Callithrix jacchus: one gene and its partners. The protein of the gene in region 2 interacts with the protein of the main gene of each other region in a pairwise test. Links are inferred from orthologs where the notes say so. Each region holds a gene or a part of one and is shown on either strand. Other genes may lie near its edges. The genes, in order: TOR1AIP1, LMNA and ZSCAN12.

Region 1 (10,102 bases), about 6.9 Mb from region 2:
TGCAATTCTATGATGTTAATAATGAAGAACAACTAAATAATAATTATGTACCACATATAATATTTAGGTAATTCATATAACACAAACACATATACAGCAGGGTATATACTGCCAAGGCAGGACATTTTCTAAAGGGTCACTGCTATCCTTCTTATTAACATTATTACAGATGCTAACAATTCTAAGAAACATCTTTTTAAAAGAAAAAATCTGTCCAGGTGTGGAGGCTCACACCTGTAATTCCAGCACTTTGGGAGGCAGAGGCAGGCAGATCACCTGAGGTTAGGAGTTTGAGACCACCTGGCCAACATGGTGAAACCCTGTCTAATTAGCCGGGTGTGGAGGTAAGTGCCAGTAATCCCAGCAACTTGGGAGGCTGAGGCACGAGAATTGCTTGAACCCAGGAGGTGAAGGTTGTAATGAGCCAAGATAGCGCCACTGCACTCCAGCCTGGGTGACACAGCAAGACTCTGTCTCCAAAAAAAAGAAAAGAAAAGAAAAACTCAAGCTTTTCTAATCTAGAGTATGGTGACAATCACTCTATAACCATCAAGAGTAGAGGGCACAAATCCTCCATAGTTTCCATAGTTGCTATTGATTCTACAGAATACCTTGTTAACGATAAATAAGTCCTGATAATTATGAGATTTTAGACTTTAAAAAACGGTGTTTACACATGTAAGCTCATTACAATAATCTAGTTATAGGCACTATTGTCTCTAAAGGCAAGAAAATTGAGGATCACAAAGGTGATTTTACCAAGATTACTCAAGTAGTAAGTGGAAGAACTAGGACTGGAGCCCAAGAGCTTTAATTCCAAACTGTCTTCCTTTCTCTACCTAAATTTCTCAGACAGGTTCCAAAACATTTATATTAATGCTCTGACCTCTCCACGTACATATATCCTTCTCTATAATCGTTGTTTGATCACCAGGCAAATAGGAAAAAGTAAAGACAGTGGTTCCATCTTTCCTAAAAGGTTTGGATGCAGGCAGTAACCTGAACTAGGACCTGTCTATCCAGGAAACTGGTGCCAACATCAGGTGATAATGTTCCATGGGGTAGAATCTATAGTCCAAGGTTCTTGAACACTCAGATCTAAAAACACTCAGATCTTTTATTCCCCCATGAAAGCAGGCAGAAATATATAAAGAAATATATAAAAACATTTTTTAATAGTCATAAAGAGGAATCTATTATATAAGTTTGTGTGAAAATCACTGTAGTCTTCCACCTCCATTGAAAATATTTTCTTCTTGCTCATTGTTCTATCTTAAAGTCCTCATGTGGTTTAAAGTCTAAAAGATCCTATTACATGTACAATTCTGGTATGTTACTGTTACATAACTCTGAAAGCTCAATGTGGTATCTATATATGGTAGGTGGCTAGCAATCAATGTATAATTCTGTAAGCTATAATAAATATAGTAAGTTAAGACAAAGTAGAAATGCAAACAGATAAAATACTAAAAATTAGCTATCAAGTTAACAACTAAAGAGATCAATTTCTGCACTTCAATTACATGTTCAATATAATTAGTTTTCCTTCTGTACTGCAGTATCTTATTAGAAGAAAAACATTATGAAAACATTTTTTGGTAAGTATGTACTAATTTCTCGTATCTGGAAGCCATTTATCTGATATTAACTCCTCAGAATATATAGATAAGAACTTAGAAATGACGTAAAAAGTCTCTGAGCTTTTTACATTATATATACTAAAAGTCATGCATTTTTACATCCAACAGTATCTCTTGGGTCTTCAAATTTAAATGTTTGATTCTTGTTATAAACATAATTCTAATAGGCTGAATAATTAATATTTGGTTTCCTAACTATAATAGGTCAGGAAGAGCAAATTATAAGAGGAAATGGTCTTCTAAAAGCAGGCACACACTCGAAGCAATAAGAAATGACAACTAACAATAAGACAAGGGATAAGGTTATTTCAGTTCTAGGCTGCCAAAAAACTCACTTATATGTGGGCTAAAAACTTCACTTCTTGCTGGGCACGGTGGCTCACACCTGTAATCCTAGCACTCTGGGAGGCTGAGGCAGGAAGATCACCTGAGGTTGGGAGTTTGAGATCACTTTGACCAACATGGAGAAAACCCATCTCTACTAAAAACACAAAATTAGCCGGGTGTGGTGGCACATGCCTATAATCCCAGCTACTCGAGAGGCAGGAGAATTGCTTGAACCCAGGAGGCGGAGGTTGCAGTGAGTTGAGATAGCACCACTGCACTCCAGCCTGGGCAAAAAAAGCAAAACTCTGTCTCACAAAAAAAAAAAACTTCACTGCTGAGAAAAAATGAACTGTGACCACTCCTACTTTACTGATGGAAAAGCAGAGCCACAGAAGTCATCTGGTCCAATAACAGAGGTAATCATCCTAAGAGCAAGAGATGGATTTTTATATTATCTAAATAAAAGTAAGAATACCTGATGACCTCAAGACCTATTGTGGCTAGATGAGTAAAGGGACAGAGGTTAAAGGTCACTTAAGGCAGAGAATATGCATAGACTTTAAAAAAATAGGTCAAGATTTAAATGTGGACACCTATCTACAGAAATTACAGAAACTGAGTTCAAAGTAGATGGTTTTATCACATGAATTTATAGTATTCCTTAAATTCTGTGATATTTAATCCATTCAAAACCTAAACATGGGGTTAGGTGTGGTGGCTCATGCCTGTAATCCCAATACCTTGGGAGGCTGAAGCGGGCAGATCACTTGAAGTCAGGGAGTTCAAGATCAGCCTGGCTAGCATGGCGAAACCCCATCTCTACCAAAAATACAAAAATTATCTGGGTGTGGTGGTGCACGCCTGCAAGTCCCAGCTGCTCAGGAGGCTGAGGCACAAGAATTGCTTGAATGTGGGAGGGGAAGGCTGCAGTGAGTTGAGATCGTGCCACCGCACTCCAACCTAGTCAACAGAGGGAGACTCCATCTCAAAAACAAAACAAAACAACCAGAAAAAAAAATCTCTAAACATGAAAATATAACTTGTGCATTTCAGCCTTTATTATGTAAAATTATGAGTATACAAAGCTGTTCCAAGTGGTTATTTATGCAAAGCCTGCTAAAAGCAAAAAACAGGGTATTGTCAAAAGAGTAGAATTTCATTATTGTATACAGACTGTATTGCTGCTAGAACTGACAGCTTGTTAAGACCCATCGATGTCTGGTTTTCCCAAGCCACCATTTACATTCTACACCCAGCCCATGTGCTGCCAGACCAAGCAAATGGAAATTACTCAACTAGTAATCATAGCTGTACTTTATTATGTTAGTGAAATCACAAACAACCTAAACGTTTATCTGAAGAACTCAACGTTTTTGTCAAGCAAAATCTAGCAAATACACTTAGGATTAATTCAATAACAGGGATTTATTTACTTACTTTGCATCCTAGTCCTTATTCTTGCAGTATGTGGAGCCCATTCCTGGGGAGTTTTTTGATATCCTGAGCCTGAAGCAAATACATATGTCAAAAGATAATTTCCCATACTTTGAAAGTTTATACCATATTCCAGTGTTATAAAATTAATCTATCAGAAACACAAAATAAAGCAGGGGAAGAAAACAAAAAAAGCAAGAGTTTTATAAATAAAAGACAATTTCAAATGATCCTGTCCCAGTGAGGATGAACCACTTCCTATATAGCAAAGCAGGTAGCAAATAAATATACTATTACCTAATATAAATTACTTGTGGTAAAATAGCCCTGAACACATTTCCACATCACAGAATAATTATTACAGGCAGTACCAATCTGAGGTGGATTAAAAAGGGTAAGAAGGGGTAAAATGACTTAAAATCTTATTACAACTTTTGTGGAGAGAATAAGGCAAGGTTAGAAGTGATTGAAAAAGAACAGAAAACCAATTACTTACTTAGCACTGAAGATTGCTTATCATGAGCTGTGAAGTTTTGACCTGAAACAGAAAACAGGGATAAGGTCATAGAATACTTGACAATAACAACAAAAAAGATGTTACATAGACATTTTGTTTATTTACTGTGGATACTAAAAACAAACAACAAACAAAAAACATTCTCTAAATTCCAAGCATATAAGTAAATAAAGTATTTATGTTTAAAGCATACATATAGAATATATATATATACACAAAGCATGTGTTTGTGTTTCTTTCCCTCAAATTTCTAAACTTCAAAATGTTTAGGAATTGGACAACAACAAGGACTCAGCTTTAGGATCATACCATCAAAATAATGACTACATATAGTCTATGTGTATCAGCTATTGACCATAATTTTGCTTCTTTTTTTTCTTTTTTGAGACAGGGTCTGACTCTGTCATTCAGGCTAGAGTGCAGTGGTACGATCTCAGCTCACTGCAACCTCTGCTTCCCAGGTTCAAGAGATTCTCTTGCCTTAGCCTCCCGAGGAGCTGGGATTACAGGCATGCGCAACCACGTCTGATTAATTTTTTTGTATTTTTAGTGGTGACAGGGTTTCATTGTGTTGACCAGGCTGGTCTCGAACTCCTAACCTCAAATGATCTGCCTGCCTCAGCCTCCCAAACTGCTGGGATTTTAGGCGCCCAGCCAATTTTGTTTAATTCTTATGTGGTAGATACTATTATTGCTCCTATTTATAAATAAGGGAAAATCAAAATTGGTAATTTTCCCCAAATTATATATCTAAAAGTAGTGGGGCTGAGATACAAATCCAGGCAGTCCATATCACATACCACATACCATACCATAGAGAAATGGTATGTACTATCTATGCAGATTTATGGACATTGCAAAGTAGCTATGAAGTAAAAGATGCTGCTTCAGGTTTTGAGGTGGTTATTTGAGGATAACTGTAAAAGGACACAATGGGATGACTAGAAAAGGACATTACAATTATAACAAGGGAAATTTCCAAATCTGCCCTGAGGAAACGAATTACTCTTTGATGATACATACATGTATCAATTTACATTTATTTACTTTCAACTTTTTCTCAATACAAACATATGCTACCTGTTTAAAAAAAAGTGTCATTCTAGAAATGCATAATTTAAAAATTTGTGAATATCTATCTGTTACGTATCTACTATGTGCAAAACATTGAACACAGAAATACTATGGTAAATGAGGTAGACATATATTCTCTCAGCTTTGTTTTCAGTCTATACTAAAAAAAATACTTTCAAAAAACTGGATACATACTTAATATTTTCTTTCATCAAATTCAAAGACATAGTTTTTTCAGAGTGCCCTTTGACTACGGCTGTATCTTTTAATCTATGGTATGGCATGGTTTAATTAGATGGTTTTTCTTTCTCATTGATACATAAAACCAATGGCATCTTAGAGTCAATGAAATATATCTTGATCACCTTTTCATTAGAATACAATGAACTAACTCATTTCTCATTTCTAAACACTATTTCTTTCTTTTTGAGATGAAGTCTTGCTCTTTCATCCAGGCTGGAGTGCAGTGGCAAGATCTCTGCTTACTGCAGCTGTTGCCTCCTGGGTTCAAGTGATTTTCCTGCCTCAGCCTCCCGAGTAGCTGGGATTACAGGCCTACTACCATGCCTGGTTAAGTTTTGTATTTTTAGCAGAGACAGGGTTTCACCATGTTAGCTAAGTTGGTCTTGAACTCCTGGTCCACCTGCCTCAGCCTCCCAGAGCACTGGGATTACAGATGTGAGCCACCACGCCTGTCCTAATAGTATTTCACTGCACGGGTATAACATCCTTTATACAGGCAGATGCATTTAAGAGTCTCCAGAAATCAAAGATTTGGGGTAAAATAGGGAAAATACATAAAATAACTAGAAGAGTAATTTCCACAACTCATTTTTTTCCAGCAGCTAATTCATTTTATAGTAACAAATCCAAAACCTTCTAAAAATTAAAATTAAATAAATATATAAAATTGAATTCTATAAATACAATGATTATAAAACGGATTTCCAAAGGCTTTTTCTTAAGAAAAGAAAGTAATGTGGAAGAAAAAATAGTTCTTTAAGATTTTACAAAGATATTTTTGGTTGATTAATAATTAGCTCAGTTTTAAACCAGATTTCATAACTCATACTTCAAAAAAAAATAATAATTAACTCAGATTTTGGGAGACTTGATTTAAAAATGTCAAAAGAAAACAATAGTAGTACCAAAATAATAAAGGTGCTGGGCGCAATGGTTCACACGTGCAATCCCAGCATTTTGGAAGGCCGATGTGGGAGAAATGGGTGCGCCCAAGGGTTTGAGAGAAGCTTGAGCAACACAGTAAAACTCCCATCTCTACAAAAAATTTAAAACTTACATGCCTGTAGTTTAAGCTACTCAGAAAGTTGAGGCAGGAGGATCCCTTGAACCCAGGAGTTCGAGGTTACAGTGAGCCATAATCGCACCACTATACTTGCCTGGGCAACAGAGTGAGAACGTGTCCCAAAAAAAAAAAAAAAAAAAAAGAAAAGAAAAAAATAAAGTTAAAAAAAAATGTCACCAATGATTCTTAAGCAAATCATTACTAGCATTTTGGTCTATTACTTTCCAATCTTTTTTTGTTATATTTTCTCAACATTTGATCACAAAAATTTTCAGTTGTAAGACTGAAATGAATATTTATGTACCCATCACTTATTCGTTCATCCTTCAAAACGTTTTCTTTTCTTTTGAGACAGAGTCTCACTCTGTTGCCCAGGCTGGAGGGCACTGGTGCAGTATCAGCTCACTGCAACCTCTGCCTCTGGGTTCAAGTGATTCTCCTGCCTCAGCCTCCCAAGTAGCTGGAATTATAGGCATGCACCACCATGCCCAATTAATTTTTGTATTTTTAGTAGAGATGGGGTTTCACCATGTTGGCCAGGCTGGTTTTGAACTCCTGACCTCAGGAGTTTACAGGCATTAGCCACCATGCCTGGCTCATCCTTCCAAACTTTTACAACAGAGTTGAAATTGTACTAATATAAAATTTTATGTCCTTATTAGGGTAAGTCCATATAAATAGACTCAAACTACTATATTAGTCAGTTAAAATAAAAACAACCCATTTATATCGCGAGCAAAAACATTCAACAAATCATGGGAAGCAGTAGTTTTTAGTTTGTTTTTTAAGTTCAAATTCAGGTTTGGGTATAGAGAATAACAACTCAATAAGTGAGGTCAAGAGGTAGAGAGATATCGGATGAGTTGTTTTTTTTTTTAGCATTCATTATTCCTCTTTTTCAATATTTACATTAAATTTCAAAAGAGGATCTTCAAAAATAGGAATAGCATTTGACCAAGCCCACAGGGAGACCTGTAAACATGGCTTTACTTACTTTGTGATGACTGCCAAAATGATTCTGTATATTTACTAGATGATCTGGTGGTTTGATCTAAAAAATAAAAAACAACAGTACACTATAAATGATGTTCAACTTTTAAAATGCACATTTTATAAGACAACAGTGAGAATTTAATAAAAAGAGCAAAAATATTCAGATAAATCCCAGGTGATTAAAAACTTGGATGTCTAATTTATTTAAAAAAAGTTTCTGTTGAAAAATGTCTGTTCATATCCTTCGCCTACTTTTGGATGGGTTTGTTTGTTTGTTTTTTGCTTGTAAATCTGTTTTAGTTCTTCGTAGATTCTGGATATTAGCCCTTGGTCAGATGGGTAGATTGGAAAAGAAGACATACGTGAGGCCAACAAACACATGAAAAAATGCTCATCTTCACTGGTCATTAGAGAAATGCAAATCAAAACCACATTGAGATACCATCTCACGCCACTTAGAAAGGCAATCATCAAAAAATCTGGAGACAACAGATGCTGGAGAGGATGTGGAGAAACAGGAACACTTTTACACTGTTGGTGGGAGTGTAAATTGGTTAAACTATTGTGGAAAACAGTGTGGCACTTCCTCAAGGACCTAGAAACAGAAATTCCATTTGACCCAGCAACCCCATTACTGGGTATATATCCAAAGGATTATAAATCATTCTATTATAAAGACACATGCACATGGATGTTCACTGCAGCACTGTTTACAACAGCAAAGACCTGGAACCAACCCACATACCCACTGACGATAGACCGGACAAGGAAAATGTGGCACATGTATACCATGGAATACTATGCAGCCATAAAAAATGACGATTTCTTGTCCTTTGTAGGGACATGGATGAATCTGGAAACCATCATTCTCAGCAAACTGACACAAGAACAGAAAATCAAACACCGCATGTTCTTACTCATAGGCGGGTATTGAACAATGAGAACACACGGACACAGGGAGGAGAGCATTACACACTGGGGTCTATTGGGGGGGCCAGGGGAGGGACAGCGGGGGTGGGGGTTGGGGAGAGATAACATGGGCAGAAATACCAGATATAGATGATGCGGGGATGGAGGCAACAAACCACATTGCCATATATGTACCTATGCAACAATCCTGCATGATTTGCACATGTACCCCAGAACCTAAAGTACAATAAAAAAAAATAGAAAAGAAGTTTTTCTTGTAGGATAAATGATTTGCAAATATTTTCTCCCAATCTGAGTCTTCTCATTTCATTTTATTAGCTGTGTCTTTCACAGAGCAGTTTTTGATTTTGATAAAATTCAGTTTGCTTTTCTTCTATTGCTGATTGTATTTTCATGATATATCTAAGAATTTTTTTTCTAACTCAGGCTGAGGCAGGAGAATTGCCTAAACCCAGGAGGCGGAGGTTGCGGTGAGCTGAGATTGCACCATTGCACTCCAGCCTGGGTAACAAGAGCAAAACTCGGTCTCAAAAAAAAAAGAGATTTCCGATTTTTCTAGAAGTGCTATAATTTCACATTTATTCCTATACTACATTTTAATATTTTAAGCTGTGAGGTGTGGAAGGGTCAGGAGAGTTTTGTTTTTGTCTTCTAAAGGGTTTAATCGCCATTTATTGAAAACATTATATTTTTCTTAGTTGAACTGCCTTTGCACTTTTGTCGAAAATCAATTGACTATCTTTGTCTGTATCTATTCCTGGAGTCTCTTTATTTTCTATAGATCTACATGTCTATCTTGCCATGAATAGCACACTCTCTTGGTTACTGTAGCTTTATAATCAGCATTAAAATCAGGTAGTGATCACTCCCTCCAACTTTATTTTTCAAAAATTTTTTGGTTATTCTATTTCTTTTGCCTTTCCCAATAAATTTTAGACATACCCTGTCAATATCTGCAAAAATTCCTGCTAAGAGGCCGGGCGCGGTGGCTCATGCCTATAATCCCAGCACTTTGGGAGGCCAAGGTGGGTGGATCACGAGGTCAAGAGATCGAGACCATCCTGGTCAACAAGGTGAAACCCCATCTCTACTAAAAATAGAAAAAATTAGCTGGGCATAGTGGCACGTGGCTGTAGTCCCAGCTACTCAGGAGGCTGAGGCAGGAGAATTGCCTGAACCCAGAAGGTGGAGGTTGCAGTGAGCCGAGATCGTGCCATTGCACTCAGTCTGGGTAACAACAGCTAAACTCCATCTTAAAAAAAAAAAAAAATTCCTGCTAAGATTTGATTGGGATTGCATTGAATTTGTAGACCATTTTAGGGAGAATTGAGAACAATACTGAATTTCCAAACCCTGGATGCACATTTGTCACTCCATTTATTTAGAAAAGAAAATAATGTTTTCTTTTGTGAGTGTTTCATAGTTTTCAGCCTACAGGTCTTGCATATATTCTGTTAGATTTATACCTATGTGTTTCATATTTCAGGAAATGGTATAAACATATTTAAATGTTTTTTATTGCTGGCATACAGAAAAACCATTTTTTGTATATTGATTTTGTATTTAATGTATTTAATTTAACACCGTGTTATCTGAAAATAAAGGGAGATTTATTTCTTCCTTTACTGTCAAAAAAATAAAAACATTTCTAGGTCACGGTGGCTCACACCTCCCCAGCACTTTGGGAGGTAGAGGAAAGCAGATCACCTGAGGTCAGGAGCTTGAGACCAGCCTGGCCAACATGGTGAAACCCTGTCTCCACTAAAAATACACAAATCAGCCAGGCGTGGTGGTGCATACCTGTTATCCCAGCTACTCAGGAGGCTGAGGGCTGAGGCAGGAGAATCGCTTGAACCCAGGAGGCGGAAGTTGCAGTGAGCA
Region 2 (10,102 bases):
CAAAAAAAAAAAAAAGAAAAGAAAGAAGGAAAATAGGATTCCAGGCCGGGCGCGGTGGTTCACGCCTATAATCCCAGCACTTTGGGAGGCCGAGGCAGGTGGATCATGAGGTCAAGAGATCAAGACCATCCTGGTGAAACCTCGTCTCTACTAAAAATACAAAAATTTGCTGTGCATGGTACGCACCTCTGGTCCCAGCTACTCAGGAGGCTGAGGCAGGAGAATTGCTTGAACCCAGGAGGCGGAGTTGCAGTGAGCCGAGATCGTGCCATTGCACTCCAGTCTGGGTAACAACAGCGAAACTCCGTCTCAAAAAAAAAAGGAAAAGAAAATAGGATTCCTCTGTTTCTCTAGTCCACTAGCAAAAATAATCAGGGACCCAGAGAAGGTGAGAGAGGTGGCAGAGACAGCGCTCTTCCATTGGTTATAGCTAAAGCCTTACCCACTTTGTGGAGCAGAGAGCCTTAAAGCTGGGGCCCAGATGGACCTGGAGGCCTGGGAGCCACATCTGGAGCCAGATGCTAAAGTTGTGGTAGGACTCAGCCTTCTCCCTGGGTGCAGATGAGGCAGGAGGGAGGGAGGCAGGGACCCCTCTGTTCAATGCAGACCAGGGCACCCAGACTGGGTCCTGAGAAGGGAAAAGATCAATACTGTCTGTGGCTGTCCTTGTCCAAGGTCCCTCTGAGCTCTGACTAGACTTTCCTTCCCACAGTTCCACACGTGTAAAAGGGACTAGGAGAGGCGACGAGCAAGCACCTTTGGAGCTCAGACCAAAAAGCGTTAGGGACTGTGGGGCTCATGGCCATGAGCTTAGTTGTCAGGCTCCTCGGAGGGAGGGAAGCTTGGCCAAAGGGAAGTGGGTGGAGTCCAGGGAGAAGGCTAAGGCCCTGTGTGGGAAGGGCAGGAGACAAAGGTACCCCTGTCTCTTTGGGAAAGAATGGGAGGAGAAAGAGGGGAAAGCATTCATATCATGGGGTAGAGCTCTGCCGTTGGCCCCAGGCACGTTCCTGAACCCTGAGTCATGGGCAGGGTGGAGAAGCAGGAATGGGGTTTTCAGGGACCTTGGGGAGGTGGGAGCCCAGCCCCAGAGGCAAGCAGATGGAAACCAACCTAATGCAAGGATGCCCTCTCCTGGTAGTTGCGGGAACAGCAGCACCAGCCCCCATGGCTGACCTCTAGGGAGCCTGGTACTGTCTAGGTATGCAGACTCCTTTTCTTAAACCCACTCTCCCCTCTCTTCTTTAGCAATACCAAGAAGGAGGGTGATCTGCTAGCTGCTCAGGCCCGGCTGAAGGACCTGGAGGCTCTGCTCAACTCCAAGGAGGCCGCACTGAGCACTGCTCTCAGTGAGAAGCGCACACTGGAGGGCGAGCTGCATGATCTGCGGGGCCAGGTGGCCAAGGTGAGGCCACCCTGCAGGGCCCGGCCATGGCCCCACCTAACACATGTACACTCACTCTTCTACCTAGGGCCTCCCTCAGGAGGTGCCTGTCTGACCTGTCACCTGATTTCAGAGCCATTCACTGGTCCTAGAGTCATTTCACCCACTGAGGCCACATTTTTTTCTTTTTGAGACGGAGTCTTGCCTGGTCACCAGGCTGGAGTGCAATGGTGCCATCTTGACTCACTGAAACCTCCGCCTCCCGGGTTCAAGCAATTCTCTTGCCTCAGCCTCCTGAGTAGCTGGGATTACAGGCACATGCCACCATGCCCAGCTAATATTATATTTTTAGTAGAAATGGGGTTTCACCCTGTTGGTCAGGGTAGTGTTAATCTCTTGACCTTGTGGTCTGACTGCCTCAGCCTCCTAAAGTGTTGGGATTAAAGCTGTGAGCCACCGCTCCCGGCCTGGCCACATCTTATCCTAATTTGGCCACCCATGGGATCTAGCAGAGTGAATTTAAAATAATTGAGGCCAGGTGTGGTGGCTCATGCCTGTAATCCCAGCACTTTGGGAGGCCAAGGAGGCAGGATTGCTTGAGCCCAGGAGTTTGAGACCAGTCTGGGCAACACAGTAAGACTCCATCTCTAGAAAAGAAAAATTTAAAGAAATTGGCTGGGCATGGTGGTGCACACCTACAGTCCCAGCTACTTGGGAAGCTGAGGCAGGAAAATCATTTGAACCCAGAATCAGAGGTTGCAGTGAGCTGAGATTGTGTCATTGCACTCCAGCCTGGGCAACAAGAATGAAACTCCATCTCAAAAAAAAAAAAAAAAAAAGAATAGCTGGGCACAGTGACTTATGCCTGTAATCCCAGCACTTTGGGAAGCAAAGGCAGGTGGATCACCTGGGGTTAGGAGTTCAAGACCAGCCTGGCGAAACCCCATCTCTACTAAAATTACAAAAATTAGCTGGGTGTGGCGGCAGGCACCTATAATCCCAGCTACTTGGGAGCCTGAGGCAGGAGAATCGCTTGAACCTGGGAGGTAGATGTTGCAGTGAGCCAAGATCGGGTCACTGTACTCCAGCCCAGGTGACAGAGTGAGACTCTGTCTCAAAAAAATAAAATAATAAATAAAAGCTAGGAATCAGAAGCGCCGGGCGCCATGGCTTGTGCCTGTAATCCTAGCACTTTAGGAGGCCCAGGTGGGTGGATCACCTGCAGTCAGGAGTTCAAGACCAGCCTGGCCATCATGTTGAAACCTCATCTTTAAAAAAAAAAAAAAAATTAAATTAAAAAAAAAAAAAAAGGAGGCCGGGCGTGGTGGCTCACGCCTGTAATCCCAGCACTTTGTGAGGCTGAGGCGGGTGGATCACGAGGTCAAGAGATCGAGACCATTCTGGTCAACATGGTGAAACCCCGTCTCTACTAAAAATACAAAAAATTAGCTGGGCATGGTGGCGTGTGCCTGTAATCCCAACTACTCAGGAGGCTGAGGCAGGAGAATTGCCTGAACCCACAAGGCGGAGGTTGCGGTGAGCCGAGATTGCACCATTGCACTCCAGCCTGGGTAACAAGAGTGAAACTCCATCTCAAAAAAAAAAAAAAAAAAAAAAAAAAAAGGAATCAGAAGCAGTTTGTTCCTAATTTCACAGTCTCATCTGTTCACAGCAGGGCCAGGATTAGAGTCAGTGGCCAAGCTTCCATCCCGGGTGCTCGCCCTTCCCAGGCCCTGCCACCACAGTATAACAGGGAAAGACCTGGAGAAGCCAGCAGGTTGACCACCAGACCACCTTTCTCCTGGGTCTGACCTCCTGCCTCCCAGCTCTGCCCTTCCCCCAGCCCTTCCTGGTCAGCCGGTGCTTCCTTGCCGTCTTTTTCTTAGAACATAGACACGTTCTCTCTATGTTGTCCAGGCTGGTCTTGAACTCCTGGCCTCAAGAGATCCTCCTGCCTCAGCCTCCCAAAGTGCTGGGATTATAGGCATGAGCCACCATGCCCGGCTACTTTTTTGTATTGGACATAGCTTTTCTTAGCACAGTACCTCCCGAGAGGGTGTGAGTGAATGCTCTGACCTCTGCAGCCATCCAAGACCCTCCTTCCCTGGACCTGTTTCCACATGTATAAAGGGGTGCATGGGCAGCAGCCCACCTCTCAGCTTCCTTCCAGTCCTTGTGTTCTGTGACCCCTTTACGTGACCTCTGCATGCCTCCTCACAGCTTGAGGCAGCCCTGGGTGAGGCCAAGAAGCAACTTCAGGATGAGATGCTGCGGCGGGTGGATGCTGAGAACAGGCTGCAGACCCTGAAGGAGGAACTGGACTTCCAGAAGAACATCTACAGCGAGGTGGGGACTGTGCTTTGCAGGCCAGAGATGGGGCTGGGTGATGACAGACTCGGGCTGGGGGGACCAGCTGCGTGCAGAGCTCACCTTCCTGAGTCCCTTGCCCTAGAATACAGGGAGTTGGGCATAGCCAAGACCCAGCTCCGAGGTTAAAGTGGGGCTGGCAGTGCCTCATGGGGTACAGCGGGGCAGGGAGCCCGGCCCCTGGGTCTTGGTCTCCCAGGAACTAATCTTGGTTTCTGGGTCCTTGCTCCCACCCTTCCAGGAGCTGCGTGAGACCAAGCGCCGCCATGAGACCCGGCTGGTGGAGATCGACAACGGGAAGCAGCGTGAGTTTGAGAGCCGGCTGGCGGATGCCCTGCAGGAACTGAGGGCCCAGCATGAGGACCAGGTGGAGCAGTACAAGAAGGAGCTGGAGAAGACTTATTCCGCCAAGGTGCTTGCTCTCCCCTGGTTCCCTCACTGCCTCTGCCCGCAGCAGCCTACCCTTGCCCACGCTGGGCTGTTCCGCCGGGGAGATCAGGCAGATGGTGGCAGGGAGCTCAGGGCGGCCCAGGACCCAAGGCTGTGGCAGTGATGCCCAGCTCAGGCCTATCCCTCCACCCTCCTGGTCATCACCGTCCTACCCTTGTGTCCTTCCCTCCAGCTGGACAATGCCCGGCAGTCTGCTGAGAGGAACAGCAATCTGGTGGGGGCCGCCCACGAGGAGCTGCAGCAGTCACGCATCCGCATCGACAGCCTGTCTGCCCAGCTCAGCCAGCTCCAGAAGCAGGTGATACCCCACCTCACCCCTCCCTCCAGGGGCCTGGAGTCTGGGCAGGATGCAGGCTGGAAGCTCAGGGCCGGGTTGTGGGGGGTGTTCCTGAGGAGGACAGGGACAAACATGTCCCCAGGACCACAGAGAAGGGTCGCAAGATGCGGCATCAGGCGGCCTGTGTGCTGCTTCTGCACTCTTACCTTGCCTTCACTTCTCAAGGCTTCGATTTTCCCACTCGGAAATGGAAGCTGTTCTTAATCTCCCTGACTCAGAGTTGCCATAAGACTCTGCAATGTGAGGTGTTAAAAGCATCAGTATGATTCTAGCTGGCTGTGCCATCTGTGATGGGAGAAAAAGGGTCTAGCCTCAGAGTGAGAGATTTCAGTTAGACAAGGGGACAAGGGGAAGGACTTCCCAGTTGCCAGCCAAGACTATGATTAGAGCTTGTGATGGGCTCTGGGGAAGCCTCTGATTGCAGATCCTGGAGAAGGTGGCCATGTCCCTCCTCCTCCATACTTGGGGCCCTTGGGAGCTCACCAACCCCCCCAATCCCCTCCTTCCCAGCTGGCAGCCAAGGAGGCGAAGCTTCGAGACCTAGAGGACTCGCTGGCCCGTGAGCGGGACACCAGCCGGCGGCTGCTGGCAGAGAAGGAGCGGGAGATGGCTGAGATGCGGGCAAGGATGCAGCAGCAGCTGGATGAATACCAGGAGCTGCTGGACATCAAGCTGGCTCTGGACATGGAGATCCATGCCTACCGCAAGCTCCTGGAGGGTGAGGAGGAGAGGTGAGTTGGGGAGGCATCGGGGAGGTGGTGGCAGTGGCCTCTGGCCAGCCACTGGCCCTGACTAGACCCCCACTTGGCCTCCCTCTCCCCAGGCTACGCCTGTCCCCCAGCCCCACCTCGCAGCGCAGCCGCGGCCGTGCTTCCTCCCACTCGTCCCAGACACAGGGTTCAGGCAGCGTCACCAAAAAGCGCAAATTGGAGTCCACCGAGAGCCGCAGCAGCTTCTCGCAGCACGCACGCACTAGTGGGCGCGTGGCCGTGGAGGAGGTGGACGAGGACGGCAAGTTTGTCCGGCTGCGCAACAAGTCCAATGAGGTAGGCTCCTGGTCAGGGTCTCAGGGGGTACAACTGCATCAGTGAGAGAGTGGCAAGACAGAGGGATGACATGCGGAGAGAGGGTCATCCCACCCCTCAGAGGGTGGACCAGAGTGAGCCTGTATATCTCCTCCACACTCTAGTTCCAGGCCTTGCTCCTGGACTCCTTGGCTGTGAGATCTTCAACAGGTTCTTTAACCTTTCAGAGTGTCAGTTTCCTCATCAGTAAAATGGGATCAATAATGATCCCTAAGTCTTTGAGTTGTCAGGAAGATGACAGATAAGGTATCCGTGTGCCTGGCGCTGCATATGTGTCCACAGATCATGGCTATTATCCCCAGGCGGAAGGGCAGGGACAGGGGTGGGTGTAGATGGAAGAAAGCCAAGATACAGCCAGGAGCCTGGGTGAGCCTCCCCCACCTTCCTCTTCCCTATCTTCCTGGCAGGACCAGTCCATGGGCAACTGGCAGATCAAGCGCCAGAATGGAGATGATCCCTTGCTGACTTACCGCTTCCCACCAAAGTTCACCCTGAAGGCTGGGCAGGTGGTGACGGTGAGTGGCAGGGTGCTTGGGACTCTGGGGAGGCCTTGGGTGGCAATGGGAGCGCTAGAGTAAGTGTCCTTTTCTAATCCCTCCTCTCCAGATCTGGGCTGCAGGTGCTGGGGCCACCCATAGCCCCCCTACTGACCTGGTGTGGAAGGCACAGAACACCTGGGGCTGCGGGAACAGCCTGCGCACGGCTCTCATCAACTCCACTGGGGAAGTACGTATGCCGGGGCCGGGCTGCTTCCTAGACGAGGCTCCCCCTAGTGGCCAACATCGGAGCCAGCTGCCCCCAACCCAAGTTTACCAATTCAGGGCCCCTTTCTAGGGCTCTCTGGTGCAGGCCCCAGATGTTCCCAGCCAGTAGGCAAACCAAAAGATGCTTCCCCAACAGCACGCGGGGTGGAAGTCAGACAGTGAGTGAGGATTGCTAAAGGCAGAATCATACTCCTACTCGGAGAACTTGACAGTGTCCCTCTGGGGTAGAAATGAGTTCCTTAGCTCCGTCATCGCAGAGGGCAGAGTAAGCAGCAGGCTGGACAAAGGGCAGGCCACAAGGAAAGCTGCAGGTGGTCACTGGGGTAGACATGCTGCACACCCCTTCCCTGGCCCTGACCCTTGGGCCTGGTCCTGTGTCCCCGCCAGGAGGTGGCCATGCGCAAGCTGGTGCGTTCAGTGACTGTGGTTGAGGACGATGAGGATGAGGATGGAGATGACCTGCTCCATCACCACCACGTGAGTGGCAGCCGCCGCTGAGGCTGAGCCTGTACTGGTACCACCCAGCCAGGCCTGGGGGCAGCCTCTCCCCAGCCTTCCGTGCCAAAAATCTTTTCATTAAAGAATGTTTTGGAACTTCACTCGCTGGCCTGGCCTTTCTTCTCTCTCCTCCCTATACCTTGAACAGGGAACCCAGGTGTCTGGGTGCCCTACTCTGGTAAGGAAGGGAGTGGGAACTTTCTGATGCCATGGAATATTCCGGTGGGAGCAATGGACAAGGGTCTGGATTTGTCTCCTGGGAAGGGGACAGGAGGACAGACGTGGGGCATGCCCGCCCTGCCTCTCTCCCCCACTCCTGTTGCATGCATATCCTCTCTTTTCCCTCATTCTTCCTGTGAGAATGTTCTCTCATTCCTGCCCCCACTCCAATGAATAGTGCGTGCCTCCTGCCCTATAAGCATGCTCCCTTTCCCTCTTCTTTCCCTCTTAAGCTCAGAGTAGCTGGAGCAGAGTCAGAGTCACCGCTCTGGTTCTCTGTCCCCAAGTCTTGCTGAGCCTTCTCCTATTTCTCATCTTCCTTCCCCTCCTCCCAGCCCCTGGCCTCCCAAACCCCTGTTACCCACTGGCTCCTTGGGCACAGAACCCCACCTTCCTGCCTGGTGGCTGGAGCCTGCAAGAGCCCAGAGCCTGGGTGTTGGGCCTGAGTGGTCAGTCCCAGACTCGCCGTCCCGCCTGAGCCTTGTCTCCCTCCCCAGGGCTCCCACTGCAGCAGCTCGGGGGACCCCGCTGAGTACAACCTGCGCTCGCGCACCGTGCTGTGCGGGACCTGCGGGCAGCCTGCCGACAAGGCATCTGCTGGCAGCTCAGGAGCCCAGGTGGGCGGATCCATCTCCTCTGGCTCTTCTGCCTCCAGTGTCACGGTCACTCGCAGCTACCGCAGTGTGGGGGGCAGTGGGGGTGGCAGCTTCGGGGACAACCTGGTCACCCGCTCCTACCTCCTGGGCAACTCCAGACCCCGAACCCAGGTGAGTTGTCTCTGCTTTGTCTCCAAGCCCTGCAGGTGGGTCCCTGGTCATCGAGGGGTAGGATGAGGCGGCCTCGCAGGGGGGAGAGCCTGCCTTCTCTTCCGCAGCCCGGGGGAGTGGGAGCCTCCTCCCCACAGCCTGAGGCCTAGACGGCCCACCCCTGCATCCTGCCCCTTGTCTGAGCCCCAGACTGGAGGGCAGGGGCAGGGCTGGAGCGTGAGGGATAGGGGAGACACTACCTCCCTTCTAGGGACCAGGGGAGGGAGGGTCCAGGTCCAGGCCCTGCTGCTCACACCTCTCTCCTCTCTCTTCTCTCTTAGAGCCCCCAGAACTGCGCCATCATGTAATCTGGGACCTGCCAGGCAGGGGTGGGGGTAGAGGCATCCTGCTTCCTCCTCACCTCATGCCCACCCCCTGCCCTGCACCTCACGGGAGGGGGCTTGAAGCCAAAGAAAAATATGCCTTTGGTTTTTTTCTTCTGTATTTTTTTTTTCTAAGAGAAGATATTTTCTACAGTGGTTTTATACTGAAGGAAAAACACAAGCAAAAAAAAAAAGCATCTATCTCAATCCTAATTTCTCCTCCCTTCCTTTCCCCTGCTTCCAGGAGACTCCACGTCTGCCTTAAAACCAAAGAGGGCTTCCTCTAGAAGCCAAGGGAAAGGGGTGCTTTTGTAGAGGCTAGTTTCTGCTTTCCCGCCCTGGCTGCCGCCCCCACCCCGGGGACCCCGTGACATGGTGCCTGAGAGGCAGGCATGGAGGTTTCTCCGCCAGCCTCCTCTTGATGGCAGGCCCACTTGCCAGGCCAGCCTCCGAGAGGGAGAGAGAGGGAGAAGAAGAGAGAGGATGGCTTGAGCCAGCCCTTGGCCCTTGCCTCCCACGATTCCACTACACCTGGCTGAGCTTCCTCTGCCTGCCCCACCCCCAGTTCCCACCCTGCCCCCAACCCCGGGGTGATTCCATTCTTCCAGGTACCAGCTGCGCTTGCTTTTCTGTATTTTATTTAGACAAGAGATGGGAATGAGGTGGGAGGTAGAAGAAGGGAGAAGAAAGGTGAGTTTGAGCTGCCTTCCCTAGCTTTAGAGCCTAGGTGGGCTCTGTGCAGTCACTGGAGGTTGAAGCCAAGTGGGGTGCTGGGAGGAGGGAGAGGGAGGTCACTGGAAGGGGTGAGAGCCTGCTGGTGCCTGCGCCACAGAGAAGGAAGGCAAGAGACGGGGTAGAGGGGTGTGGCAGTGGTTTTGGCGAACACTAAAGAACCCTTGCCTCCCCATTTCCCATCTGCACCCCTTCTCTCCTCCCCAAATCAATACACTAGTTGTTTCTACCCCGGCTGCTGTGGTGTCTTTGTTGGTGGACGGCGCTTTGTGTACTGAGAAGCAGATTCGCGGGCATGCATGCAGGCGAGGTGCGCGCGCGCGCACGCACACACACACACACACACACGCACACACACACACGGCACCACACACACAGAGCCACACAATCACTGCATCCTCCTGCTCATTGCTGCCCAGCCCTTCGCTGCTCCAGAGAAAACAATTAGAGATCAGAGTACTTTGGGTGCACATCTGGGCACTCGGTGGTAGCTGAGGGAAAGGCTTTGATAGAAGCATCACTACCCGCTGCGTGGCTCTCCCAGTGAAAGTCCTTCAGAGAAGCGGAGCCTGAAGAAGGGCGTCTGCTAACCAACTTCCCTTACCCACCAGCAGTTACTGAGTGCCTTCTCCGTGCTGGGCCCTGAGCGAAGCCTGAATCTAAGACATATGATATAGACCCAGTCTGAGGATGGTGACCTTATCAGGACGTAGGGACAAGGACACCCCGGGGAGGAGGGAACAGAAACTACAGGAGAGGGCAGAGGAGAGGAGCAGTTAATGTCCCTTTGTGCCACGTTGCGCTCAGTTTGGGGGATTGGTAAATGAACAAGACAAGATGGCCAGTGTCCTCAGGGAAAGTACACCCCGGTGGGAGTCAGAAAACAAACTGTCGACAAAGGGAGGTGTCCGGACAAGTAGCCTCAGGGTGCTCGAACCTGGGGGCCAGACTGAGGGAGGGGTCCCAAACAGGAAAAATGAATTCTATAAGCCAGCCTTTCTCTGGCCCTTCCTAGTTTCCAAAGCATTTCTTCAACATCTCATTTGGCCTTCATTCTTTCTTGAGAGGTAGGTATTGGCTTCTAGGCCACTGGAACTCAGGCCTCTCAGCTCGAAGGTGGCACAGTTCCCAAGATTCTGG
Region 3 (10,650 bases), on a different chromosome or scaffold from region 2:
TTCTCTCTGCGCCTCCCTGGCTGCTCTGCTTCTCTCTGCGCCTCCCTGGCTGCTCTGCTTCTCTCTGCGCCTCCCTGGCTGCTCTGCTTCTCTCTGCGCCTCCCTGGCTGCTCTGCTTCTCTCTGCGCCTCCCTGGCTGCTCTGCTTCTCTCTGCGCCTCCCTGGCTGCTCTGCTTCTCTCTGCGCCTCCCTGGCTGCTCTGCTTCTCTCTGCGCCTCCCTGGCTGCTCTGCTTCTCTCTGCGCCTCCCTGGCTGCTCTGCTTCTCTCTGCGCCTCCCTGGCTGCTCTGCTTCTCTCTGCGCCTCCCTGGCTGCTCTGCTTCTCTCTGCGCCTCCCTGGCTGCTCTGCTTCTCTCTGCGCCTCCCTGGCTGCTCTGGTTCTCTCTGTGCCTCCCAAGCTGCTCTGTTTCTGCTGGTGGTTACTTCTTTCATGACCTCATCCTATCTCATGGCTTTAAATACTATGTATATTCCGAAAAGTCCCAATTCTGTATTTCTAGCACAGACCCTGCCACTGAATTCCAGTTCATTATATCCAGTTGTTTTCTCACCTTTTCTGCTTGAATTCTAATAGGAATCTCAAAATTAACATGTGCAAACGCTAACTTTTTTTCTGAGGCAGAGTCTCACTCTGTTGCTCAGGCTGGAGTGCAGTGGTGAGATCTTGGCTCACAGCAACCTCCGCCTCCTAGGTTTAACGGATTCTCCTGCCTCAGCCTCCGGAGTAGCTGGGATTATAGGCATCTGGCACCACACCCAGCTAATTTTTGTATTTTTAATAGAGACAAGCTTTCACCATGTTGGCCCAGCTGGTCTTGAACTCCTGACCTCAGGTGATCCATCCGCATCGGCCTCCCAAGTGCTGGGATTACATGCATCAGCCACCGCGCCCGGCCCAAACCCTAACTTGATTCCTGTCCCTCCATCCCAAACCCACTTCTCTCCCAGTCTTTACCATCTCTATGAATGACAAATCCATTCTATCTGATGTTCAGACCAAAAAAATGGGCATAATCCTTTACTTTCTCTCATATCCCACATTTTATATAAAAATGAATCCTCTCAAGCTCTTCCTTCAAAATAAATCCAGAATCCAATCACATTTTACCACTTCCACTGCTACTACTCTAGACCAAGTCACCAGTATCTCTTGCCTGGAATATTGCTTATGATCATTGCTCCTGAAATGGTTTCGTGCTTCTGCCTTTGACCCCTGTGCCTACCCCAGCCCCACTGTGGAACTTTCACATAGTAGCCAGAGTGATCATTTAAAAATTCAAGTCAGATTATATCTCTCTTCTATTTAAAAACTCTCCAATGACTGTCCATCTCAGAATTCAAAATTCTTACAATGGCCTACAAGTTCTGACACAATATAATCAATCTTAGAACCATTTTATTTCATCTCCTGTTTGACAAATACTACATCTCTACCATGACAAGTACATTTTCACTTTAAAATCCTCTGCCTTGGCAGGGCATGGTGGCTCACACTGATAATCACAACACTTCGGGAGGCTGAGGCAGGCAGATCATGAGGTCAAGAAATCTTACCATCCTGGCCAACATGGTGAAACCCCGTCTCTATTCACCAACATAGTGAAACACTGTCTCAAAAAAATTAGCTGGGTATGGTGGTGTGCACCTGTAGTCCCAGCTACTGGGGAGGCTGAGGCAGGAGAATCATCTGAACTTGGCTGCAGTGAGCTGAGATTGTGCCACTGCACTCCAGCCTGGTGACAGAGCAAGACTTCATCTAAAAAAAAAAAATTGACCCTCTGCCTGAATGCTGTCATCCTTGATAGCTGTGTGGCTTGCTCTTTCCATTCAGATTTCTCCTGTAAATGTCACCTATCTGAAAAGCCTTCTCTGACAAGACTACCAAAAACAGGGCTGTCCCCATTTCTTTCACCATTCCTTTTCTCTGCTTTTATCATTGTTGTTTGAGCACATTTGACTGTCACTTATATCTTGTATTTTTTTTTGGAGATAGGGTCTCACTGTGTCACCCAGGCTGGAGTGCAGTGGCATGATCTCAGTTCACTGCAGCCTCAATTTCCTAGGCTCAAGCAATCCTTCCACCTTAGCCTCCCAAGTAGCTAGGACTACAGACACCTGCCACAGTGCTTGGCTAATTTTTGTATTTTTATAGAGATGGGGGTCTCACTATATTGCCCAGGCTGGTTTGTCGATTTTTACTTTACTATCTGTCTCTCCTCAGTAGAGTAGAATCTACATGACAGCTGCAACCTCCCATGCTTTGTTCGCTGTTACATTCACGGTGCCCTAAATAGGACCTAGTCCAAACAGATATTCAGTAAGTATGTACTTAGTAATTGCCTACAGTCTTTGTTAGGAATGTCTCCATTATACTAGCGCTTTTTTATTTTATTTATTATTATTATTGTTGTACTTCAGATTCTGGGGTACACGTGCTGATCATGCAGGATTGTTGCACAGGTACATACATGGCAAGGTGTTTTGTTGCCTCCATCCCCTCATCACCTATACCTGGCATTTCTCCCCATGTTATCCCTCCACCCACCCAACTGTTTTCCCTGTAGCGCCCCCAGAAGCCGTTATACTAGTCTTTCAAGCTTGAAATCCCTAGTGTTTAGCTTAGATTGCTCTGTAAAGATTTCTCCATTGGTTCTTCCTTCTTTACTTAATAGATCTGTCATCACTTCCAAACAATTCTTACCTAAGATAAGCCTCATCCTTGGTAATCACACTTTCATGATCCTATTTCTTTCTTTGTTTTTGTTTTGAGACAGAGTCTCACTTTGTTGCCCAGGCTGGAGTACAATGGCACAGTCTTGGCTCATTGCAACCTCTGCCTCCTGGGTTCAAGTGATTCTCCTGCCTCAGCCTCCCAAGTAGCTGGGATTACAGGCACGTGCCACCACGCCTGGCTTACTTTTGTATTTTTAGGGTGGTCTTCAACTTGTGACTTCAGGTAATCCACTCGCCTTGGCCTCCCCAAGTGTGAGGATTATAGGCATGAGCCACCGCGCCCAGACTCATGATCCTGTTTCAAACTAAGATCTTTTTGCCATGTTCCTACCCTCTTTATTGTCTTTTGTATCACAGTGCGAGATGATACTTCTGTTTTATCATTTCACCAAGTTTCAAACTCTTTATAACAGGGTTTCCTAGTGCCTACCCTCTTTACTGTCTTTTCTATCACAGTGCTAGATGATACTTCTGTTTTATCGTTTCACTAAGTTTCCAACTCTTTATAACAGGGTTTCCTAGTGTTGCCTCTACTGACATGTTGGTTCAGATAATTGTTTGTCTGAGGCTGTCCTTTGTGTTGTAAGATGTTTAGCACCAGCCTTGCCCTCTCTACCCACTAGATGCTAGCAGCACCTCCCTGAGTTGTAACAACCAAAAATGTCCCAAGACATTGCCAAATGCCCTCCGGGGCACAAAATCGGCACTGGTTGAGAAACACTGTCTTATTTTATTGTTAAAAAGAAAACAAAAAAGTTCTGCATAATTTGATTCTCTTTTACATATTACAATTAGTGAAGCTCATTTAGACTCAAGGAGAAAAGGTTGGGGGGGGGGTCTGTCCTACAGAATAAAATCTCAATCGTTGAGATTCAAGGTCCTGGACGCTATCTCAACTCTTCTACTCAGAATTCCCCTTTCTAATCTAACTGGGCTTTCTACTACTCAAAGCAGCATGGATCCCTGCCCTGCTCTCCTCACTAACTTTCCATTGTACTCCCACATCTCAATCCCTGAAATACTTAATTTCTCCATTTTAACATCTTGTAATAGAGTCAGAGCAATGCATATATCTGCAAAACCTTAATTCTTAATTATTTGTATTGTGCAATAGAGGGATGCCCTTTCAAGAGGCTGCTTCCCATCCTGCTGCTTTCATCTGATACCTGGCCTTAGAAGTCTTCTAAGATGAGCAGTATGTTTATCAAACAGAATTTTGTAACTTAGTAAAGAAATATAAAATCCTTCCACAGAAAAGTTACAAATAAGTTTAGCGCATTAGCCAATTTTCCATGAAACTCATGCCCCTTTCTGGTGCATCAAACTGTCAAGAACATGCTTTGTGGAAAAAATGGCTCTTCTTCACTCTGGCACAGAAATCCACAATTTATCTTTTCTCAAGCAGAAGTCACATCGTTTCTTTCTCACCCTGTCTCCGGGCTCATCCAGCTCTCTCTCTAAATCCTCCAGCACAGTCACCACGTCCTCCCCACTCTCTGGATGCTGCCCCTGCACCCAGGCCTGGAGCTCCTCAGGTAGGATGGTCAGGAACTGCTCCAGCACCAGCAGCTCCAGGATCTGTTCTTTGGTGTGGGTCTCTGGCCTCAGCCACTGACGGCAAAGCTCTCGGAGTCGGCTCAGAGCCTCACGGGGACCAGATGTCTCCTGGTAGCACAACTGTCTGAAGTACTGACGGAAGACCTCTCTGCTATGGCTGCTGTTTTTATGCAGGTTCCAGTCCCGTCTGGTGGTAAACTTCTCCTCCTCCTCTATCTTTACTTCCAAAGGTTCATCCTGGTCCATGTGGGCCTGGATAGCCCAAGTGGATGCCATTTCAGCTGTGCAAGAACTATTGGTGTTTCAAGTAAGATCTCCCTGGAAAATTTCTTCCTGGACCATCCTGAGGAGTAAGACATTATTATTAATACAAGCTACACCATAAAGGAGAACTGCAAGTGCTGAGAACTTGGAAAGCCGGCCTCCAGATTAATGTACAATACTCAGAAAAATACTATGATAGAAAAGACTTAAGATTTGACCAATTTAAAGAGAAAGACTGAGGAAAGGTGCCGAGTTGTTTCAGGATAGAAAAGACTTAAGATTTGACCAATTTAAAGAGAAAGACTGAGGAAAGGTGTCGAGTTGTTTCAGGATAGAAAAGACTTAAGACTTGACCAATTTAAAGAGAAAGACTGAGGAAAGGCACCGAGTTGTTTCAGGATAGAAAAGACTTAAAATTTGACCAATTTAAAGAGAAAGACTGAGGAAAGGCGCCGAGTTGTTTCAGGATAGAAAAGACTTAAAATTTGACCAATTTAAAGAGAAAGACTGAGGAAAGGCGCCGAGTTGTTTCAGGACTTTAAGAAGAGTAAGACTTGTTAGTAAACTTATTCTCATTTGGTCCTAAATGAAAGACAAATAGAATAAAACTAACATTCAGAATAAGTAAATAATAATGATGAAAGGTTGGGACACCCTTGATTAGTTACTTTTATCTTTTAAATGTCCAGATGTCTGCTGGAAACCGTGAAATCATAAAAGCAACAAAGTAATGCAAATGTATTTCCTCAGGGACTTAATCTTTCTGCTCATTCTTCATTTATAAAGCGAGAGGTTACTCTTTAAGGCATCCCTCCACCCTCACGGTCTGTGATTATAATCTGAAGTGAGGCAGGCCCAGGAAAGGGTCCCTAGGACGCAGGCCAGCGTGGGCGACTCGCCACTGTCCAGGAACGTCGGCAAGCGCTGACCCCAAGGATACACAGCCCGAGGCAAACCTGGAAGGTATGAGCCTTACAGCCGGGAATTGCCGCAGACACTGGGAACCGACCCCTCATCCCCAAAGGGTCCCAACGCACTTTGGGGAGGGAGAGCTTCCCGCGGATCCGCCCGGGATTGGGAGGACTGGGGTGCCCTCTACACCAGCCAGAGCCTGAGGGGCCCACCGGCGGGAATACGGCAATCTCCCGCCCACCTGCTCGCCCCGCACAAAGGACAACACTGCTCACCTGCGGCCGCCGGCGCCAGCACAGGACTCCCTCCTAGCGAGCGAAGGGCGGAGGCCTCCAACCCTTTCCGGAAGCGGAACCCATCAAAAGTGATCCACAAAGGCCGGAAGCGGCCGCGGGGGGGGGGGGGGCGCACTTCCGCAGTCGCTCCCGGAAGGGGGCCGGAGGGGCTTTCGCCTCAGTAGTGTTTCCGCGCGCCCTCGCTAGAGCGAAGCTGAGCGCTCTCAGGCCCGCGGGTAAGAGGTATGGGTTTATCTTCCTCCTTTTCTTTACCCAGCCATTGTCCACACTTCCCCCGACCCGACGGGGGGACTGATTTGCAGGGTTGCTAGTTCCCAGCCAAAGAACTGAAGACTGGGAAACCCCTTGCGTCTCCATTCGCTTTGGGTCCGGAGGTGCTTCCCGACACCACGCTTGGTGGTGCCGAAGGGACTCCTGCCACACACACATCCAGAGGGCCAGCCTACTGGTTTCTGCTGGCGATTTCGCCACCCACGATTCTCTTGATGCTCTTTTTTATGCACTTATGATACATTATACACCAGAAAGCCCAGTTCAATGGAAAAGCTATATAAAAAGAATAATTTAGTAAATTAGCAAGATATAAAATTAACACACTAAAATCAACGCCCTTCATATATGTGAATAGTCAATGATAACGAGTTACGAGATAGAATGGAAGAGAATTCCATATTTACAATAGCAACAAAAAAAGTGAAAATAGGAATAAACAAGAAATGAGCAAAACTTCTCCGGGGGAAGCTTTAAAACACTCCTAAATGGCCAACTGTATATTAAACAAACAGAAAGCAATATGCTGTTCTTGGAAAGACTCAAAGAGGTCAGTCCTCCCTAAATATGTATGCAACTATAGTATTCCAACAAAAATATCAACCAATATTGTTCTGTAATTAGATAACTTGATTATGAAGTTCAAGTGGGGACATAAGTAAGAATAGACAGGAAACCCATGAAAAAGAACAATGGTGAGGGACAGCCTTTTCAGATACTGGAACATACACATATTATTTTAGTTAATTAATAGACAAAGAATATACCAGAAATAGATGCAGGTATATAAGGATATTCAGTGAGTGATGAAGGTGACATCACATATAAATGGGAAAATGAATCACTTAGAAGTTGTACTGGGATGACAACCATTTGGCAAAGCTAAACTGGATTTCTATTTTCCACCACACATTGCAATCGACATAAATTCTAAATGGATCTGAGATCTAAATGTAAAAAATCCACCTATACATGTATTAGAAGAAAACATGAATAATAGTTCTAACACTGGGAAGGGGAAACATCTAATAATATGACTCAGAATCCAAAAGCCTTACAAGTAACAAATCTGACTACATGAAATTAAAATGTATTGTTTGTCCAAAAAAACACCACAAGTAAAGAAAAAGGTTTGCAACATATAGAGAAAATGACCAGAAGATAGTTGACAGAATAAAAATGCTAGCAGCCCCCAAACATCTGTAAAAAATGTTCAACTTCACGCAAAATATGAACATACAAATTAAAAACTATGCTGAGTGAGGTACCATTGGCCATTAGATTGGCAATGGTCCAAAAGTTTGACAGTACATTCTACTCATGAGGAAGGGGAAACTCTTAACATATTCCAGTGGGAATGCAAAACGGTGTGACCCATAGGTGGGAAAAATAATACTATACAGCAAAATTATGTATATAAGTTTACCCTTTGTTCCTGCGATCACTTCTAGAAATCCATCTCAAAGATACTTTGACAAAAATATGAAGTGATGTACACACAAAATTAAATGGGATCAGGGGAGACCTGACTTTTAAAATGCGAAATATGAGGGAATGAAATTGAGAAATACTCAGCAGGATAAATGGATCAGGGCTTCATCATTGACTATGTGGGGGTTAAGAGAACCAAAAAAAGCCTGGCATCATCAGAGGATGGTGGTCCCTCCACCAAGACCAGGGACACTAAATGACAGGTAGCATGTTGAGAAGAAATGTATGAGCTCAGCTTGGTCACGTTAAGCTTGAAATCCTGGAAAGCATCACACTGTCGATGTTGCTATTTGTTAATGGATTGGTTTAGGGATTTGTGGGTCTAGGAGTCATGAGAAAAGAGTTAGCTTGAGATCCATATTTTGGAGCCTTCTACCTTTCAGTAATTGTTAAAATGATTAAGATAGCTCACGAAGTGTGTGGTGCTAAAAGACAGCCTAGGACAGATTTCTGGAGTGCCCTTTTGTAGACTCTTCTTTCAGGGCATCTGGGGAGAAGGGAGAGAGATCCCTCCTCATACGTTGCCAGGGCTCAAATCTTATGTGAAGCCATACAACATCTCAGAAAACAACAGACACAGAGAAATTATTGGACAACTTGAATTCAACCTGGAACTGAACCTCAAGCTCACTTTTGGGTTCTTTTCTAGGCATCTAGAAAGATTTTTACAACTCAGTGTTTTCCGAGTTCCACTTGGCATGACTTACTGCAAGAAGCTGATATGGAAATCTCACTTAAAAAGTCAGCTTGCACCAAGGATGACTGACTTGCCGCAGTTCCCAGGGACATAGGTAAAACAGTCAATTTTTTGTCATAGGTGCACTGTAGCCACAAGAAAAGAGCATCTAAGCACAAAGAGATCTTAAGACAGAGAGAACTCTGAGTAAAACCATTCTCCATCTTTTGACTCTGGAGAAATACAGGGATATAGAGACAAAGAGCAGATAAAAATGGATCTCCAGAATACCTTTATTTTAAACAATTTTTGCCTAATGTTATTACTGACGCTTTTTGGCCATTTTACTAACCAAATAACTCTAACATTTAAAAAGGAGAAAGTTTCTTGTGATATATTGGCAAGCCTTCTAACTGCCCTTAAAATCAAAAGGGAAAAAAAGCAGATGTTGAGATCCAGAACTCAAGGAATAAGAGAAAAGGACTGCAGGAAGTATTTCATTTACAGATTTGAAATTGGAAGCCGAAAGCAACACAAAGTTTTATGATGTGAATTCTGTGAGCTTCAGAAAGTATATAGTTGAGAACACAGAGACTTGAGAGAAAGCATAGAGTGAGAACACAGGTAAATGTATCTAAAGGCAGAACTCTCAGGGTTCACATGGGCACAGTGAAGCACATAGTGAGAACACAGGTTACTAGATCTAGAGGCAGAACTCTCAGGGTTCACATGGACACAGTGAAGCATATAGTGAGAACACAGGTAAATAGATCTAGAGGCAGAACTCTCAGGGTTCACATGGACACAGTGAAGCTTATAGTGAGAACACAGGTAAATGTATCTAAAGGCAGAACTCTCAGGGTTCACATGGGCACAGTGAAGCATATAGTGAGAACACAGGTAAATAGATCTAGAGGCAGAACTCTCAGGGTTCACATGGGCACAGTGAAGCATATAGTGAGAACACAGGTAAATAGATCTAGAGGCAGAACTCTCAGGGTTCACATGGACACAGTGAAGCATATAGTGAGAACACAGGTAAATAGATCTAGAGGCAGAACTCTCAGGGTACACATGGACACAGTGGAATGTTTTGCTTCCTGTCTACACCTCTGATCGGAGAGTCCATAACTAGCTGTTTTTTTTTTAAAAAAACAAATAGTGTCTAATTGATGAACTACTGATATCATTTGGTTTTTGCAGGTCATCTCTCAGCTGTCTTGAAGGAATGTGCAACAGATTAAGAAAAAGTCTGAAAACTATTTCAATAGGTCCATGCTGGTAAGCAGAAACTGAGCCATGTAACTGCATACAACTTGAATAAAACCTTGTTTTAAAAAGTGAGTTAAAAAAGTAAAAGTGAGTAAAAATTTAAGCTGCCCTCCCTCCCAGGGAGACAAAAATAGGAGCTGAGAATAGTAACATAATCATACATTGAAGATTGTGATTTAAATTCCAATAGAATATTGCAGATATTCAATAGGCACTGTTTAGAGTAAACAAACAAAAAAACAAGAAAGCAATAGAACCAAATTGCTTAGTGATGTGGAGGTGGCCATTATGAGAAGCAGGGATAGAAAAGGCAGCCCTCAGGAGTACTGGGTAGTGTGTCAGATGATAAAGTAGATCTGTTGCTTTTCATCATAAAACCTCGTTTGCTGTTTGATTTTTTAAATATTATAAACCTTTCAGGGCATAGTGTTCTATAAAAAATTATAAGCTTATCTTACTTTGATTAGAAAAAGACAGTAGCATGTTGGCAATTTTCATGGTTAAAAAGAGAGAGAGAGAGAGAGAGAGACAACAGCAAAAGAAAAATTAAAGGGCAGTGGTGCATGCCTGTAATCCCAGCACTTTGGGAAGCCAAGGAGGTAGGATCACTTGAGGCCAGGAAGTTGAGGCTTGCAGTGAGCCATGATTGCACCACTGCACTGAAGCCTGGATGACAGAATGAGACTTGGTCCCCTAAAAAGGAAAATTAACATTTTGTGTATTTGTCGAAATGCAGATGCCCAAGGTGAACAATGCCCAAAGTGAACGAGATGAACATATTAACAAAATAGTAAAATGTACCTGTGCTAGAAGCATCCACCAGGCAGTTTTGTTTAACACAAATGATTTCTTTGGAAGAGCCAGATGGTAATCTGAGTTACAGGTCCTCAGGGTCTTGAAATTTATAGATCACTAAGATCTCATGGCCCATCCACAACATCTGCTGTGTGTGTGTGTGTGTGTGTGTGTGTGTGTGTGTAGAAAAGAGACTTTGATTTTTTGGTAAAACTGGTGTTTTTTTGCATGACTTCTTAGGGGCCCTATAGGAAATTCCTCCCACTTTGAAGACTGTTGAGTTTCGTCTAGGATTGAATAAAAGCATTGAGAATATGTATATAAACAACGGAAAGGAGAAAGGGAGAAAAATAGGGAAGGTGGTAAACTGTGTCTTCCACAAACA

What was found.
Region 1: the proteins of LMNA (region 2) and TOR1AIP1 interact in a two-hybrid assay, tested with the Homo sapiens proteins (2 studies listed by BioGRID). The link is inferred for Callithrix jacchus from reciprocal best matches to the Homo sapiens genes LMNA and TOR1AIP1.
Region 3: the proteins of LMNA (region 2) and ZSCAN12 interact in binary tests that used the Homo sapiens proteins (3 or more experiments, as listed by UniProt). The link is inferred for Callithrix jacchus from reciprocal best matches to the Homo sapiens genes LMNA and ZSCAN12.

The regions. Positions count from the first base shown.
Region 1 is NC_133519.1:23,463,339-23,473,440, forward strand, and holds part of TOR1AIP1 (torsin-1A-interacting protein 1), read right to left. Parts: intron 7,350-10,102; coding exon 7,293-7,349; intron 3,940-7,292; coding exon 3,898-3,939; intron 3,474-3,897; coding exon 3,405-3,473; intron 1-3,404. UniProt on the Homo sapiens protein: Required for nuclear membrane integrity. Induces TOR1A and TOR1B ATPase activity and is required for their location on the nuclear membrane. Binds to A- and B-type lamins. Possible role in membrane attachment and assembly of the nuclear lamina.
Region 2 is NC_133519.1:16,524,184-16,534,285, forward strand, and holds the end of LMNA (lamin), read left to right. Parts: intron 1-1,245; coding exon 1,246-1,402; intron 1,403-3,601; coding exon 3,602-3,727; intron 3,728-3,989; coding exon 3,990-4,160; intron 4,161-4,370; coding exon 4,371-4,496; intron 4,497-5,045; coding exon 5,046-5,266; intron 5,267-5,358; coding exon 5,359-5,581; intron 5,582-6,027; coding exon 6,028-6,135; intron 6,136-6,226; coding exon 6,227-6,346; intron 6,347-6,771; coding exon 6,772-6,861; intron 6,862-7,598; coding exon 7,599-7,868; intron 7,869-8,188; coding exon 8,189-8,215; 3' UTR 8,216-9,191; downstream 9,192-10,102.
Region 3 is NC_133505.1:2,711,766-2,722,415, reverse strand, and holds the start of ZSCAN12 (zinc finger and SCAN domain-containing protein 12), read right to left. Parts: upstream 5,826-10,650; 5' UTR 5,741-5,825; intron 4,633-5,740; 5' UTR 4,566-4,632; coding exon 4,161-4,565; intron 1-4,160. UniProt on the Homo sapiens protein: May be involved in transcriptional regulation.